2 linked regions of the Lepisosteus oculatus genome follow. The protein of the gene in region 2 interacts with the protein of the main gene of each other region in a pairwise test. Links are inferred from orthologs where the notes say so. Each region holds a gene or a part of one and is shown on either strand. Other genes may lie near its edges.

Region 1 (7,263 bases), on a different chromosome or scaffold from region 2:
CTCTGAATAATTCAGTATTGATGCTTCTGGTGATGTTTATCCAAAGGATATATAAATATAAATAGAGGTTTTCTTTATACATTGGGTTCAACTCTGCATATTGACATTTTCTGAAATACTTAAAAAGTAGTGAATAATTTAAAAATGATGAAGATGAGGACAGAATAAATATAAAATGCTCTAGAAGGGCCAATAGTCAATTACCCAGCACAGACCATTAGTAGTCAACCTTTAAAACTAACAACTCCAAGCAAGCACGTATACAAAGACATGGATACTCAAAGGATGTTTCTACTTGCCCAGTGCCACCGGATCACTGCTCAGGCCTGGCGTGGCTACAATGATCTGGTCCAAGGACTCCCTGTTGTTTAACATCTTAAACACCTGCATAAGGGGAAAAACAATCAGCTTCCAAAAGGATGACACAATGGGCATATGTTTACATAGCTATTTGTGAGGCAGTGCATCAAGTCCATAGATGATCAAAAGAATGATTGGTAGTAATCATTAACATAAGGTAAACTAATTCTGTTAAAATATTAAGAAAGCCATTTTAGAACATCAATATCCAACACTGAGCAGATAGTTATTGGTGAAATCGTTAAGCCAGCCTTCACAGACCAGTCTTAAGACAAACTAAGCCTCAAGGATAAATATGACATAAAATAAACAGGGAGGAGACACATCCCAGAAGAGAGGGGAAGGAAGACTAGAAGTGATTAGGCCATTAGAACATTTGTCCTCCTTAAAACAGATTACGAAACTAGAATCTTCACAGTGCTGATCTCAGCACTTGAAGGGTACTATACTCTTAAATAATAATACTGAAAATATTGATATCCTTCATTGTGAATCCACAGCCTAAAGCACATCCCTCATTTGTTAGTGATGTGTTATTCTGAACAAGGAAATAAGATTCCCATTTCCTTAGCTTCCAATCTAAACAAAATGAGTCCTTCCAGAATCCTTATTTATTAGAATACAGGTTCTCTCTCTGCCCATTTTAAAGTGTTTTGACCTCATGTAGAAAACTGTCTATAGAAGGCAGAACTTGGATGACACACAGTAGTGAACATACCTGTATATAGCCAAAAAATGTATATTATATATTTGTTTAACTATCTTTATAAATATTTGTGTTGCCAAACTATGCCTGAGCAGCCAAAATCACACATTCTATGTACCACTGGTATTCCCTGGCTATAAGGAGTGTAAGTATGGTCATTGCGAAATACTTCGGAGTTATCTGAGGGACTTTGTGCTTTGCTTCAACACCTGAGAGAAACTTAAGGAAATATTATTTGTTGCCCCCTCTGAATCTGTTACTTCTGTTCAGAATCAAACAGAAGTGACAGATATAAAAGTCACTGAGCAGAACATCATTTCACAATGCAAGTAATGCAATGCTGGGGGGCTGTTTTCACTTTTCGTAAGTAAAGCATCTTTTGTCTTCCAAACACAACACCTCCTTTTTAAACTATGAAACATTTTGCTTGTTTGTTGAAACTTCTAGTATGAGGCAAAGTTTCTCAGTGCAGTCTCACCGAGTCTCTATAAGCAGTACTGGTATGTAGAGCTGCCTGAAGCACACGGAACTCCCTGGCAGCAGCTGTTCTGTCCACAGGCTCTGAAAAGGAATTGTACAGCACAATGGAAAACTCTGTGATGTCACAATATAAAGCCAGCCGTGAGACGGTTCGTAAATTCCATAGCCATTCATTTCTGAATTTTAAAAAAAGAAGGCTTCAGTTCAAAGAAGTCATTTAATTTCTGCTTGTAATTTTGTCATAAACTTCAGTGCCCTCTAAACTGGCTTAATTTATTTTGTTCCCCAGCAGGACTTCAATATTGTATTAGCATGAACATAAATCAAGATTTGATACTTTTTTCAAAAGACAGAACAGTGATTAAAAAGCCAAACAATGCTGTGCATAAGCAATTTCAAAGAAAGTACAGCAATTTCGCTCCACACTAAATTACTGAAACAGACACCACGTACTTAGCACTAAATGGTTCTGTGTAGAGAGAGTGGACTGGCTCATACACACCTGGCTTGACTTCTGGTTCTGGCCACGATTTCTTTAAAATGTGGACAGTTGATCCTGGCTGAATCCCATAAAATTCCAATGTCTGCTCATCTTTCAACTTTCTGCCACAAAATACCAGTTCTGAAATATAAACGCATACGTTTGAATTGGAGAGACAATCCTGTGTTCTAGCTGATTTCCAAACGTTGCACCAACACGCTGTAAAAATAATGTACTTTATAATCCCCTGCCTCTTGATTGATAGAAGGTTATATCAAAAAGTGTGCAACGTCAACTTGGGCTACCAGAATCCAGCGGGTTTTCTATGACTATATATCATCAATAGCTGATGGCTTTTGAAAAATGTTATCCCGCCCCCACCAAACGGAGTTATGTACCACTGAATTAATGTGAAAGGAACATCTCTTGAAAGCCAGTTTTTACTGACCTATAAACTCCGGATCAGGTACTAAATCTGGCAAATGGGCTGCTACCAGCTGCTTCAGTGTGGCGATACGATATCCTCCCGGTGCCACATCTCCCGGTTCCGTTTCGGGAAACTGCAGAACCGACTTGGGGACCGAGGGCTGGTCCATCAGTTTCAGTGAAATGCGCCACTCTGGAACTGCCATAGTCATCTGAAGGAGGCAAAAATATAAACAGCATACATTGAGTAGAGTAATAAAGAAAAATTATGCATATTACATGTTTTAAACTCAACTGGATCAGATTTATCGATTAATAACACTGGTTGTTTTTAACATTCGAGATTACGACTGAACATAAAAAGACTATTATACCGTATCTGACTATGTAACTAGCTATGACTTAAAAACTGAATTTCATGAATTCAGAAAAGTTTTTTTTAAAATAGAAGTATAATGTTAAATGAACACATAATTAAAAAATAACAAAAAAAGAGAAAGAGCGATGTTTACACTTATGCTCTGTCACCTGGAAACGGAAAAAGTTCTCGATGATTTCTGGGATTTGTAGTTTTTTCCCTCTGCACACGCCACTCTGTTATTTATAGAATTAAGAGGAAAAACTCTGCTGCTAATAGAGGTGCTAGTGATTTTGACTGAACAGTGCCTTCGACTTCACATTTTGATCAAATGTAAGCATATGGATCAAAAGAACTCCACTTGCATCCAAACAAAAACGGTATTAAAAACGCTAAATGTTTTACCAATTTCTACCATAAATTTATAACGTCTTCCTGAAAGACTGGTTAGACTTTATTCAATATATAATATTAATAACGTAGTGATACAATATTCGATATACTACATAGTTTGTCATTTTAAATGTCTGCTAGGTAATGTTTTTGAAATAAAAACCACATACCAAAACTGCGGAATTCCTTTAACTTAATTTTTACCAATACACCGCTCAGACCTGACTAAGAAATTGATAAATTAACGTAAAATGTCCGAATTCATTAGTTCGTATTCTAGTGTAATTTTTGGGGGAACTCCATTACCCAGAGACCTTTGCTGTCTCTTGGGCGGAGAAAAGGAGAAATGGCTCTGTATAGAAGAGGAGGTGGAAGGTGTTGCGCTGTGTCAGGGTGCACTAATAACCAGAGGAAACTCAGCATCTGGCGGCGGGACATTTGTGAGCTCCATTCCCCTTTGCAACACAATGCGTGCTCGTGTCTTGAGCCTTTCTCTTTTTATTATTTCCCCCGTGATAAGGAGAAGCAGCAGGCATGGTTGGGAGCAATCGGCAGAAAAGACTTTCTGCCAGGCAAGGGGACAGTCGTTTGCTCGATGCACTTTGTAAAGGGCTCGCCAACCGCCGAGCATCCAGTGCCAGTGCTAAACATGGGGTCCTCCGAAAACGAAGACCTGACGGAAAGCAAGAGTGGTGGGGATGAGAGACCGGCTAGGAAAAGAGTTTACAAGGCACTGCTGGAGGACACGGGCGGCGGCCCCCCCACGGGGTCTGCAAAGAAACTTGAAATAGACGGGCGATACCCCCAAGGCTCCTGGGAGCAGGCCACTGTTGAAGCCATCATGCAGTTACGCAACTTCGATAGCCCCAGCAGCTCCCTTGTGGCGCAGACGACCATCGCGAACCTGAAGGATGAAAACGATTTCCTCCGTGCTCAAAACAGCAGTCTTAAGGCGGAGCTGAAGTCAACCCAAGAGGGACTGGAGGCGGAAGTGAGAGCAGTCAAGGAGGAGCTGGAGACGGTTAAAGGGGCTTGCCGGTGCAGGGTTGAATCCAGGACAGCGAAGCCCGCTACGGCGGAAGCTGTGCCGGAGCTAGAAGGTGTAACTGTAACTGTAACTAAAGACGAGTTGGATGGTATCGCTGTCTCAAACGAGGAGGAGGTCCCTGCTAGAGGAGATACTGCTGCGTGCATCCCTCTTGAAATTGGCACTGTAATCCTAACTCGGACACTCTAAAATTCTGCTTTGTTTTATTGTGTAATTATTTGTTACGGATTTTTATTTTGCAGTCGGAAGGAGCATCTAGACAACCGTAGCAGTATACTATATACTGAGTTTCTGGAGTTCTCAACTGTATTTCCTCTATGTCTTAATGCCATATTTACAGAAGGTTCCCCAATTAACTTTTGGTTTAGGAAGAGGTATGTTAGACACTGGAAATGTGTACGGATCACGGAGAAATCTGCCACGGTGTCTTTAAGGATTTTTCATCGTGTGTGTGTGTTTTTTTTCCAGGACTTAAAATGGTATGAATCATACCTCAGTGATATATTTGTGGATATGATTACCATAATCACCTTTGTTTTACAGTTACGATCTATTTATTTTAAGCTTCTCTGCCAAGGAGAAGTCTTTATTTTTTTTTTGTTTTGGTAAACATAACAGATTTGGGAGAAAAAAAAGTTTCTTGATATTTTAAAAGAACAAGCAGTTTATTGTTTTCTTTTAACACCGTGTCAAAAATAATTTTCGTGTAAAAATAAAGGCCTTTTTTTGTCCTCACAGATCTCTGTTCTAGTCTTTGTGATTGTAGGATAGGCTGTTGTCAAAGCCTACGTACTGCAGAGCTGAATATGGGAAAGGAAGCAGAGATAACTCCTAAGTGGTGTGGCCTTTTTACAATGGATGGGTTTGCATCACATTCTTACAGCTTCCAAAGAGGAAAACATTCCCAAAAAACATTTACTTGGTGTGATATTGTACACAGTATTTGCAAAACATTTACAAAGTGCTACATGCTGAAATGTTTTACAATAACCATGTTATTGTTGGAATAAAGGTGTTTTTTATTGGAAAAAATGCATCTTTTAGTCCCATAGGTTTATACCTCTCAATCCGCACACGAGGAAAAGTAGAGCATTATGCAACAGGCTTCTGTTTAAAGGGGAACAGTTACAGTAACTACTGTATTTAAAGAGTTATGAAGCTCTATGTGAATGGTTATGAAGCTATGATTTGCTGTATAATGTATGCATGTAAAAAATAGAAAATGGTTATCATCTTTCTAAGAGTATTGTTTATTCAAGTTTGGTAATGACAAATAAGTCTTCTAATTAAAACTAGTGGCTGGTTAAAAGAACATAAGAAATGTTACTTTCGGAAGAATGGCATCTCCAGTTTGCATCTGCCCCAAGGTTAGAGCTTTGGTAGTAGCTTTTGATCTAAGGATCTCATCTGTCTGTGTCGGGAAAGATGCCAGTGTCTCAGCTTCAGGCCCAGGGCTGGGGTAGATTTTTAAATACCCCTCACAGCCTGGGTACAGTGCTTCCTGTTCTAATTTCTAAATGCACTTCTACATAGGCCAGCAGCCATATCACCCTGCAACTCACAACTGGAAACCCACTGAAGCTATGCAGGTGTAAGCCTGGTCAGTACCTGGATGGGAGACCTCCTGGGAAAAACTAAGGTTGCTGCTGTAAGAGGTGTTAGTGGGGCCAGCAGGGGGTGCTCACCCTCTGGTCCATGTGGGTCCTAATGCCAAAGTATGGTGAGGGGGACACTATACTGTAAACAGGCGCCATCCTTCGGATGAGACGTAAAACCGAGGTCCTGACTCTCTGTGGTCATTAAAAATCCCAGGGCATTTCTCGAAAAGAGTAGGGATGTAACCCCGGCATCCTGGCCAAATTTCCCATTGGCCTTTACCAATCATGGCCTCCTAATAATCCCCATCTATGAATTGGCTTCATTACTCTGCTCTCCTCCCCACTGATAGCTGATGTGAGGTGAGAGCTCTGGCGCACTATGGCTGCCATTGCATCATCCAGGTGGGGCTGCACATCGGTGGCGGTGGAGGGGAGTCACCATTACCTGTAAAGCGCTTTGAGTGGAGTGTCCAGAAAAGCGCTATATAAGTGTAAGCAATTATTATTATTATTATTAAAGTGGACTTTCTTTACTGAACTTAAAGCTGTTGCTCACCATTGCACTTTGGTCAAACATTTTGCTCTATCCAGCATACTGGACCATTTCAAAGAACAGTGGAGAGGCACGAATGGGCTCTAAACCACTCCTTAACAATATGTTGTCGTCCACGTCTAACATCAATCTCCCCAACATATGGAAATTGGTAGGGTAGCAGAAATTCTTTGGCATTGTTTCTGTGTTTAAAATGACAAATGCGCTTTTAAAACTGAACACTTGCATCATATTTTAGGTTTTAGCAAGTGGAAAGTTAAGATAGATCTGTTAATGCGCTTAATGATACATGACCACAGAGGGTGAGTCAACTCCTGAACTGTCTGTACAGGGCAGACAGCCTTTTAACTTCCAGAACTCATTCACTTTCAACAGGAGACCAGAGAAGACACCTATCCTATCAGCCAAAGACTTTGCTCGTTCTTCCACTGCAATGTTTTTCATTATGTAGTCAGTGCTTATGTCAAAAAAATTAACAATCATTAATAGATATGGGCTTGCCACCAAAAGATCCGTCTCTCCCCCATGATTCCAAATTGGATGAAGTGATTGGATAATAGATAAGGATTAATTTGTATAGCAAACCAAATTATGTCATTACATATTGGGGTGGTATTTAGTGCTCCTGCCTTATAAATTCAAGGGCATGTGTTTGATTCTGGAGTTTGACACCATGTGGTATTCTTTCTGTGATCCTGTGGGTGTTTGCCATGTACTGTACTCCGGTTCTTCCTAAAGTTGTGTAGAGTAGGTTTGATTGGCTAATATAAATCAGAATATGAGTTTATTTCTAATTAAGATCATATGTTTTTTTAAAGCAAAGCATTTGTTTAAGGAATCTTCATTCTCTTTCCATTATT
Region 2 (7,658 bases):
GAGTCTGTGAATACTTTGTATTGAAGGGAATATACAGTGCTTAGACTTAGGTTAGCCTGCTAATCCACACTATCATTCAGCTTTATCATTCTGCTGAGGATTTCTTCCAATTTAGCCGAAACCTACTGAATCTGGGCTGAAAAACGCAGCTGCAGTAGATTACAAACAGCCTATTCCAGAAAGACATTAAAAATCCAGCCCCTCAGCAAATTTCCTTATTTTTACTACAACAGTAAACATAAGGGAAATTACTGAAGGGCTGGAATTCAGGCCATGCAAATAAGACAGAAAGTAAACCTGCTTAACACTGCAAAGCGAGTAGTATAAAAGAACTAAGTGAATACACTGCATCTCACTATGAAATAATCACAAGATACTTTCTCAAACTACAAAAATATTATCTTAAGTATTTAATCTTTCACCTAGTTCAACAGTTTTTCTGTAATTAGTTGTTTAGTGATACAAGTTTTCAGAAACATCTGTCATGCGTCTTAAGGTGAACGTAAGCATTTAAACAGTCTGGTGGTGTTTTCCAAACATGTTGTCTTCTTCTCAAAGTATGATGTACATCTACTCTTTTTTTGCAATTTCTGTTGAAGAGTCTTTTGGTCATGTCACTACAGTCTGTCAGTTCTTCTTTTTATAATCAGTGTTCTTCTCATGATTTGCTTTACTACTGGTGTGCATTAACCACAGAACCCACTCCCTGGTCATCCAGTGTACAAGGCCCTTTAAATAGATAAGTTTTAACAAAATGTAATAAAAACAAATCTTTACTAGCAGCCCCCAAACATCAGTTATTCAGATTTATTTAGTTATTTAATTTTACATTCAATTAAAACATCAACTGTTTTAAAGTCTCCCCTTGTCTCAATGTAAAGTCCAACACTGTAAGGTCCAATATACACAGAACTCTTTCCTAAAAGCGTACACAGGCCTGTGATTAGCCGATCAATGACTAACACGTCTACCTAAATTCATAGCTATCAGTTAACCATTAAAAGGAAAATAAGAACTCGAGTGCTGCTGAAGTAAAATGATTAATTTGTTCCCTGCCTTAAATAAGTTAATTCTGTGAGCTCCTATATTCTACAAAAAAAAACAAAATGCAATTCCTCAGAATAACGGTAATTAAAATATAGAAAATGACTTTCCATTGAATAGCAAGATGCCCTATTGCTCGGTATTTCTAAGGGCATGTGTGGCACCCAATGAAATTTGACAAACCGCTTCCTTGTTTCATTTAATCCTACCCCTAGAATTGCTTGCCTGTACTGATAAAGTTTAGCACAAACTATTCTTACAGGAGTCATGTTGCTGTAAGATCAAAACACAAAATGAAATGACTTTAGGATGGAATTTTCACATTCTCAACATCCCAGGAAAGCACCAACACAAAAGACCAAACCTTTACTTCTTCTGGTATTGACAAAATCACAATTGAACATATTCAATTGCAATCAAAAGAACCACACTCAGCATTTATACGACCATGACAGAGTTTTTGCTATGACTCTCTTGGGCTTTTCTCTCCTGTTAATTGATCATATCCAAGCAGAAATAAAATCTGCTCACCAACCTACAGCATCTCAGTTGCCCTATAATGGAAATTTTAGTAGAGTACATTAGTGAGATATTATTTTAGAACAGTACATTAGTAGACCCAATACATACTTACATTAAATAACCCCTGAAACTCCACAAACGTATAAGCTGTACACATTAGACTCGAGTCTTTTCTGCTGTAAAATACTTGAATAGATCTGTTAAATACTTGAAAGCGTATTAATAGATCTGCTTTACAACATCGGATATAGAGGACATCATCAGAGGACACATGAAAAGCCAACGCTTAAATCTTGAGAAGAGAAGGCACTGCTTTACACAAAAGGTTGCAGGAGTCTGTAACATCGTCAAAGCCAACACCTTTGCCTCCTTCAAGAAACAGCTAGAGTTCCTCAAATCAAGTAGCTACTTGCCATCAAAATGTCCCGAATGGCACAGGACCGATGCAACACATCTATATATTTACCAATTGCCAGTGAATCGTCTTACTATACAGCTGTAACACCTGTTAAACTGTCAAGCTACCTTAAACTGTACATTTTAGAATGCAACATTTTTTAGAAACACGTTAGGGTTACTGTCTTAATTTGAATATACTTACGCCTTTAATGCTCGATATAGACGGCGTCGGCAGTACTATAAGTACCAACCGCTTAAGTCCATCTGTTCACCTGTACAATAGACTTCGAAAACCCAAAATAGCAGGGCTTGCTGCAGGTGCCACACAGATACTTTACACACAGCGAAACTTAACCATGAAGATTTGAGGAAATATCTCCTATTTGGAGCCAACTTCCCTAAGTGTGCCATATCCAAATTAGAATGCAGTGCGACTCCACTGCGGCCCTAATAAATTAGATATACATGTTTCATTTATTTCTTGTGGTAAGAGCGCAAGTCCTCATTTCCTTGTGTCCAGTCACTACACGGATAGCCTGCTAGGCCTGTCCGGGCTTGGCCTTAATCATAAGGGAGGGAGCCTGCTTTTCTCCACCGCTCGCCTGCTAAAATAGGCCTCTTCGCGGCATCGATTTTCAACAACGGCGGTGCTTCCCACTTCACCTTAAACGACCCGTTTCGCATACAATACTAATTGCACATCGCATATTACCTTCAGAATTTAACAAACACACCCTAACCCCAGAAACATCGCAAATCTAAGAAAAAAATGTCAGCACTCTTCCCGTGACCGACAACCCCCGGTGCAACCCCCCTAAAATATCAGACGTTATTTACCACATTACGAAATCGGTGTCAGACGAGGCTGCGGCACATATATTTTCCAAGTCTAATTTAATATTAAGGTGTCCCGTGTTCAGGTAGGCGATACTCACCGGCCGTAATGACACCAGAAAGAAACTGGAATCTTCTGTCTTTGCGACGGAGGGAGGAACAAACCTGACATTCAAAATGGCGGCTCTCCCGGCCTCAGCACCTACCGCAGGCGGATGGTTACATTGAATAATATCTCATATAAGCCTCAAGTTCGCGAACAAGACGCCATTCGGGCTCTCAAGGAGAGTACATATCTCCCATTTAAACTCACAGGACGTAGAGCCAACATGGCGTCCGAGGGCAGGGTATATTCCTTCGACTGGCTTCAGCTGACTTGAGGCAGGCAATACCAAGCGTTCATAAATGTGCAATACCGATAAATACAGATAAATGTCAATCATACCCTAAGTGAGATGTATTATACTGCTATGTCAGTTAGCTACAAGATTTTCAGAAATTAGGTTCGTGTTTTCCTTATGCTTGGGAAACGTGAAAGTTGACTGTTATACTATTAATTTGACAGTAAATTTCTAAAGTTCAGCCAGTGTTTTCTATTCATAATAAGGCTATTCTCAGGAAATAAAACTGTGTAATACTTGAGTTATCACGTTAACCAATCCGCAAAAAGAAATAAAAAGGTTTTAATAACCTTTATAAGTTATATGCTTTTAACTATGTCACCATGCAAAAAATCCCACTGAAATCTTAGGACAGAGATACATTTTGGTCAACACTGCAATTCATAATCTTTGGTTAATAAGAAAGCGAGGCCGAAAGCATGCCCACATATCTATTTTCTTTATGTGTAGGTAAAGCGGAGGAGTTATAAGTAAAGGTTGCAGCACAGGAGTAGGAGTAGTGCTGCGGTCCGGACTTCACCTCGTGGCAGTCAGTGATGACGTCATGATCTATGTCGTGTCACTAGTGAAGGGAGGCTCTTTGGCAAAGGAGGAACTGCCTCTACAGAAATGACCGAATTCCAATGTGATGTCAGGATTTACACACAGATTTGGAAATTGTACGTCCCAAGCTATTCTTGGGAATGCTGGCTGCGGTTCTGTCGAGGTGCATTCCTACTCGGCGAGAGTCTCGAAATGTACCCACTGTGTGTAGCTAGCTGATGTAAAAAAGAAAAACACCTTTCTCATTTTTGTATATAAGGAACATCATAGTCAGATGTTCGCACAGTATTATATAATATTCGCAGATATAACAGCAAAATGCAAGTATATTACAATAACGTATATTAAATTTCAGTATTCCACTTAACATTGCAAGCGCTCTCCTGGACCGTACAGACATGATCTTGCTCCATTTGTATAATAAGAATTATGCTTTCGTAACTTAAATAGTGCAAACTGTAGCAATGTTTTATATTTTTATTAAATTTCAGTGTGTTTTAAAACTGACCCCCCGCAATCCAACCATTTAAGCAGTACACACATTTTGCTTGATCAGGCAAGATCGATACGTAATCTTACTATTCTCCACTCAATCTGTATTACTCCTCAAGACAACTAACGGGCATCGTTTCTACGTAAAGGAAAGATAATAGTCTATTTCTCTTGTAATTGACAGAAAATCAACAGGTACTATAATATCGCTAACAACAACAACAATAATAATAATTCTAATAATTGCTTACACTTATATAGCGCTTTTCTGGATACTCCACTCAAAGCGCTTTAAAGGTAATGGGGACTCCCCTCCACCACCACCAATGTGCAGCATCCACTTGGATAATGCAAGGATGAATAACAAGGCATATTCTATCAACTGCTTGCAATTTTAAAAAATGTAGCTGTAGATTTATGTATATGTTAATCACAGTGCTGCTGTTGACATAGAGAACTCAAACCGAAGGGAAATCACAGCGCTATGCAGATAAATGTGAATCTGTACTCTGTACTCCCCCTTGTGGTGGCAGATGTGCCGAAGAAGAGTAAGGCTGGACATTGAAGTTGGCGGCGAACAGATCGCTGTTGCGAGTGGCACGGTGGCGCCGTGGTTCGCGTTGCTGCCTGGCAGCTTTGTGCTCTGGGTTCCAGTTCTGGGTGTGGGATGCTATCTCTGGAGCTTGTATATTCTCCTCCAATCCACTGCCATCCCATCCAGCGTGTATCCTGCCCCCGCGCCCCTGTATTGAATAAAGCAGTTACAACTGGAAGGATCTGTGTCGCGGTAACAAGCAGTATATTGGAACATAATACTTTTTTATTTACATCTGAAACATTTTCGTCTAAAGAACAGTGTTGGTGCTACGAACGAGACAAGACGGTTTTGAACATTAAGAATAAACCAGGCTTCTACACAAATTACTTTTTTTTTTGCTTTAAGAAACTGGTGTGAGTTCACATTCTGAAAAACAGGGTTCTTTGGGTGGGAATATTCGCCCTCGGCTGTTTTAACTATTACGTTTCATTTGGTGACCCGGAGTCTCCCACTTTTAAGTTGAACAACTTGCAAAGTAACCAGGGAACTTGTTAGTTCAATACAGTATCCAAGTAAAATATATCGTCGGGAACGAAAGCCAGTAGACGTAGGGGATCCCCTCTACTAAAGGTATACCACGATGTCTATTTCACCGAACCCGTTACAGTCAGAAGTATTTGACTATGAGTAACGCCTTCGCAACATATTACCCGTACACATTTCTGGGGAAAAAAGGATCATGTTCCACATATGTATGTATCCCTTAAGGAATAATTCTGCTTCAGTATACAAACGATCACTGATCCAGATGAACTCAAATCCAAGTTGCAAGGAACAGATGGGGAAACACGACCTAACCCGCTACTTCTACACGGCACAACCAACGACCACCATTTGTCCTCCAAGAGCTCCACGGCACATCCCATAATTCCTTGCGCGTGGGTGACGTCTAGGTACGGAGTGAGTGTCGGCGGTGCGTCTCTGCAGTGCTCTGGCAGAGCGACAGCGACACAGATTCGGGGCAATTCGGGGCTGATCGGCGAAGAACATCCCAACCAGGGGCTGGATTTTACCTCATTCAAAACGTTTTTTTTTAAGTGTGTAGATGGCCAAACCGTAGAAAACAAATTATACGGCGTCTTATCAAAGGAATATGTGATTCTCATTTTTTTCAGAAAAAAGAACGCGTCTTTTTTATTGAAACGATTTTCTTCATTTAAAAAATTGTCCCCCGACTATCTACCAATGTATTCTTTATCGCTACCCGGGTAGATATTTGTTTTCGCTTGGGGGTTATTTTTTAAATTTCATTTTCACTCCGTTGAAGTCTTGCTCCCTAAAAAGGGGAGCGTTTTTTTTTTAAGGAAAACATATATATTTTTTTGTTCGAGGAAATCTTCAAATCTGTCGGGTCTAGGTGGGGATTCGAGTTTTTTTCAGCCGGGAGAAGGGGATAATATGTCCAGGCGCAAACAGACCAACCCCTTCAAAGTTAATTGTAGGTATCACAGGTATTGCAAATCTCTCTCTATTTTAATCGTAGCAAGGTTAGCAGCCCCAGCAGGACCTCAATATAGGGTTCTGTTGGTGTGATGGTTGTTCTTTGAACGAAACTCAGCAATGTTGCTAGTTGATTGTTTTCCTGGGGCTGTCGTGTCCTCCCTGTTTTGAACTTCTGTATGTGATGTATTTTCAAAACGGTAAGTCGACGGATTTTATAAAATGTTAGCTTCTATACAGAACTGTGTCATGTTTCAGTGTTATACCTGCATTGAAACCCTGATCTCTCCTTACATCGTTTTGTCGCCTCCCTTGTTTTCATTGTAGCTGCCTGTGCAACTCCGACGAGCGTCATTAATTCATAATTGTCAACAAAACACTTGAGATAATTAATTCATTGCTCTGTCAATACAACACTAGAGACTCTGTGAGTGGGAGTCGCCCACTTGTTTTAGTGCTGCGTGGGATTCAACGTGGAGCAATGAAGAGAGGTTGCTTATGGTGCGAGTGTCCTGTGATGGGACGCTTCTCCATTCGTTGGTGTAATGACTTGTAGTGGACGGAAAACACACTATTATTGTTCAGTTGAGTCTCGGTGGCAGTAGAGAAAAAAGGTGTACAGTTAACCGGGGTCTTGGTTATTTGGTAACTAGACTAATGTTATTCCCATAACATTGATATTCCTTTTTCTCAACCTGAGGAGGGAGGGCATTCCCAGCACTTTATCACAGCTGGGATCAAAGTTGAGATGATGGAACAGTGCCTCTGGACGGATCCATATGAAGGAGTTTGTACGTGTTCCATAGCCTAATTGAAAAGTAAAGTATTGGACCACGACATGATGGAAATCATGTTTCTCTTTCTCAGATGCTGCTTGTTTAGTCATCCCAAGGAGAGCAGTCCACACACAACAGGCTCTCTCTTTCCAGAATCCTGGTCTCTCCCCCAACTCGCCTGTCTTACTTAATTGGTTGATGCTGGCGTTTGAAACTTGTTGATTTGCAAAAACTGGGCCGACCAAATGCAATATCGATTGATATTGTAAAGCTTGCAAGGACGTAGCTTTACATTGAAAACGGTTTACATTGAAGCCTGATGCTTTGTTAAGATGTCGGCTGGCTCTCAAGTTGTGAAGAACTAGCTGATGTGTGGGGAGCGTTCTGGCGGACTATGGCTGCCGTCACATCATCCAGGTGGGGCTGCACATTGATGGTGGTGGAGGGGAGTCCCCATTACCTGTAAAGCGCTTTGAGTGGAGTATCCAGAAAAGCACTATATAAGTGTAAGCGATTATTATTATTCCTGGCTTGTTTGAGGATACAGTAAGCCTGCTTTTGTCCCTTCCGTCCCACTGCACAGCAGTACAGAGGTGCTGCATATCCAAA

Evidence for each region.
Region 1: the proteins of ap1g1 (region 2) and ubiquitin-like protein 7 interact in binary tests that used the Homo sapiens proteins (3 or more experiments, as listed by UniProt). The two-hybrid records come from large-scale screens. The link is inferred for Lepisosteus oculatus from reciprocal best matches to the Homo sapiens genes AP1G1 and UBL7.

What each region holds. Positions count from the first base shown.
Region 1 is NC_090700.1:51,652,719-51,659,981, reverse strand, and holds the start of ubiquitin-like protein 7, read right to left. Parts: upstream 3,014-7,263; 5' UTR 2,966-3,013; intron 2,910-2,965; exon of another isoform or gene 2,828-2,909; intron 2,666-2,827; coding exon 2,476-2,665; intron 2,169-2,475; coding exon 2,049-2,168; intron 1,628-2,048; coding exon 1,545-1,627; intron 385-1,544; coding exon 300-384; intron 1-299.
Region 2 is NC_090715.1:9,930,962-9,938,619, reverse strand, and holds the start of ap1g1 (AP-1 complex subunit gamma-1), read right to left. Parts: upstream 3,001-7,658; 5' UTR 2,901-3,000; intron 1-2,900. Other genes in the region: znf821 (zinc finger protein 821), read left to right, coding at 6,232-6,271. UniProt on the Homo sapiens protein: Subunit of clathrin-associated adaptor protein complex 1 that plays a role in protein sorting in the late-Golgi/trans-Golgi network (TGN) and/or endosomes.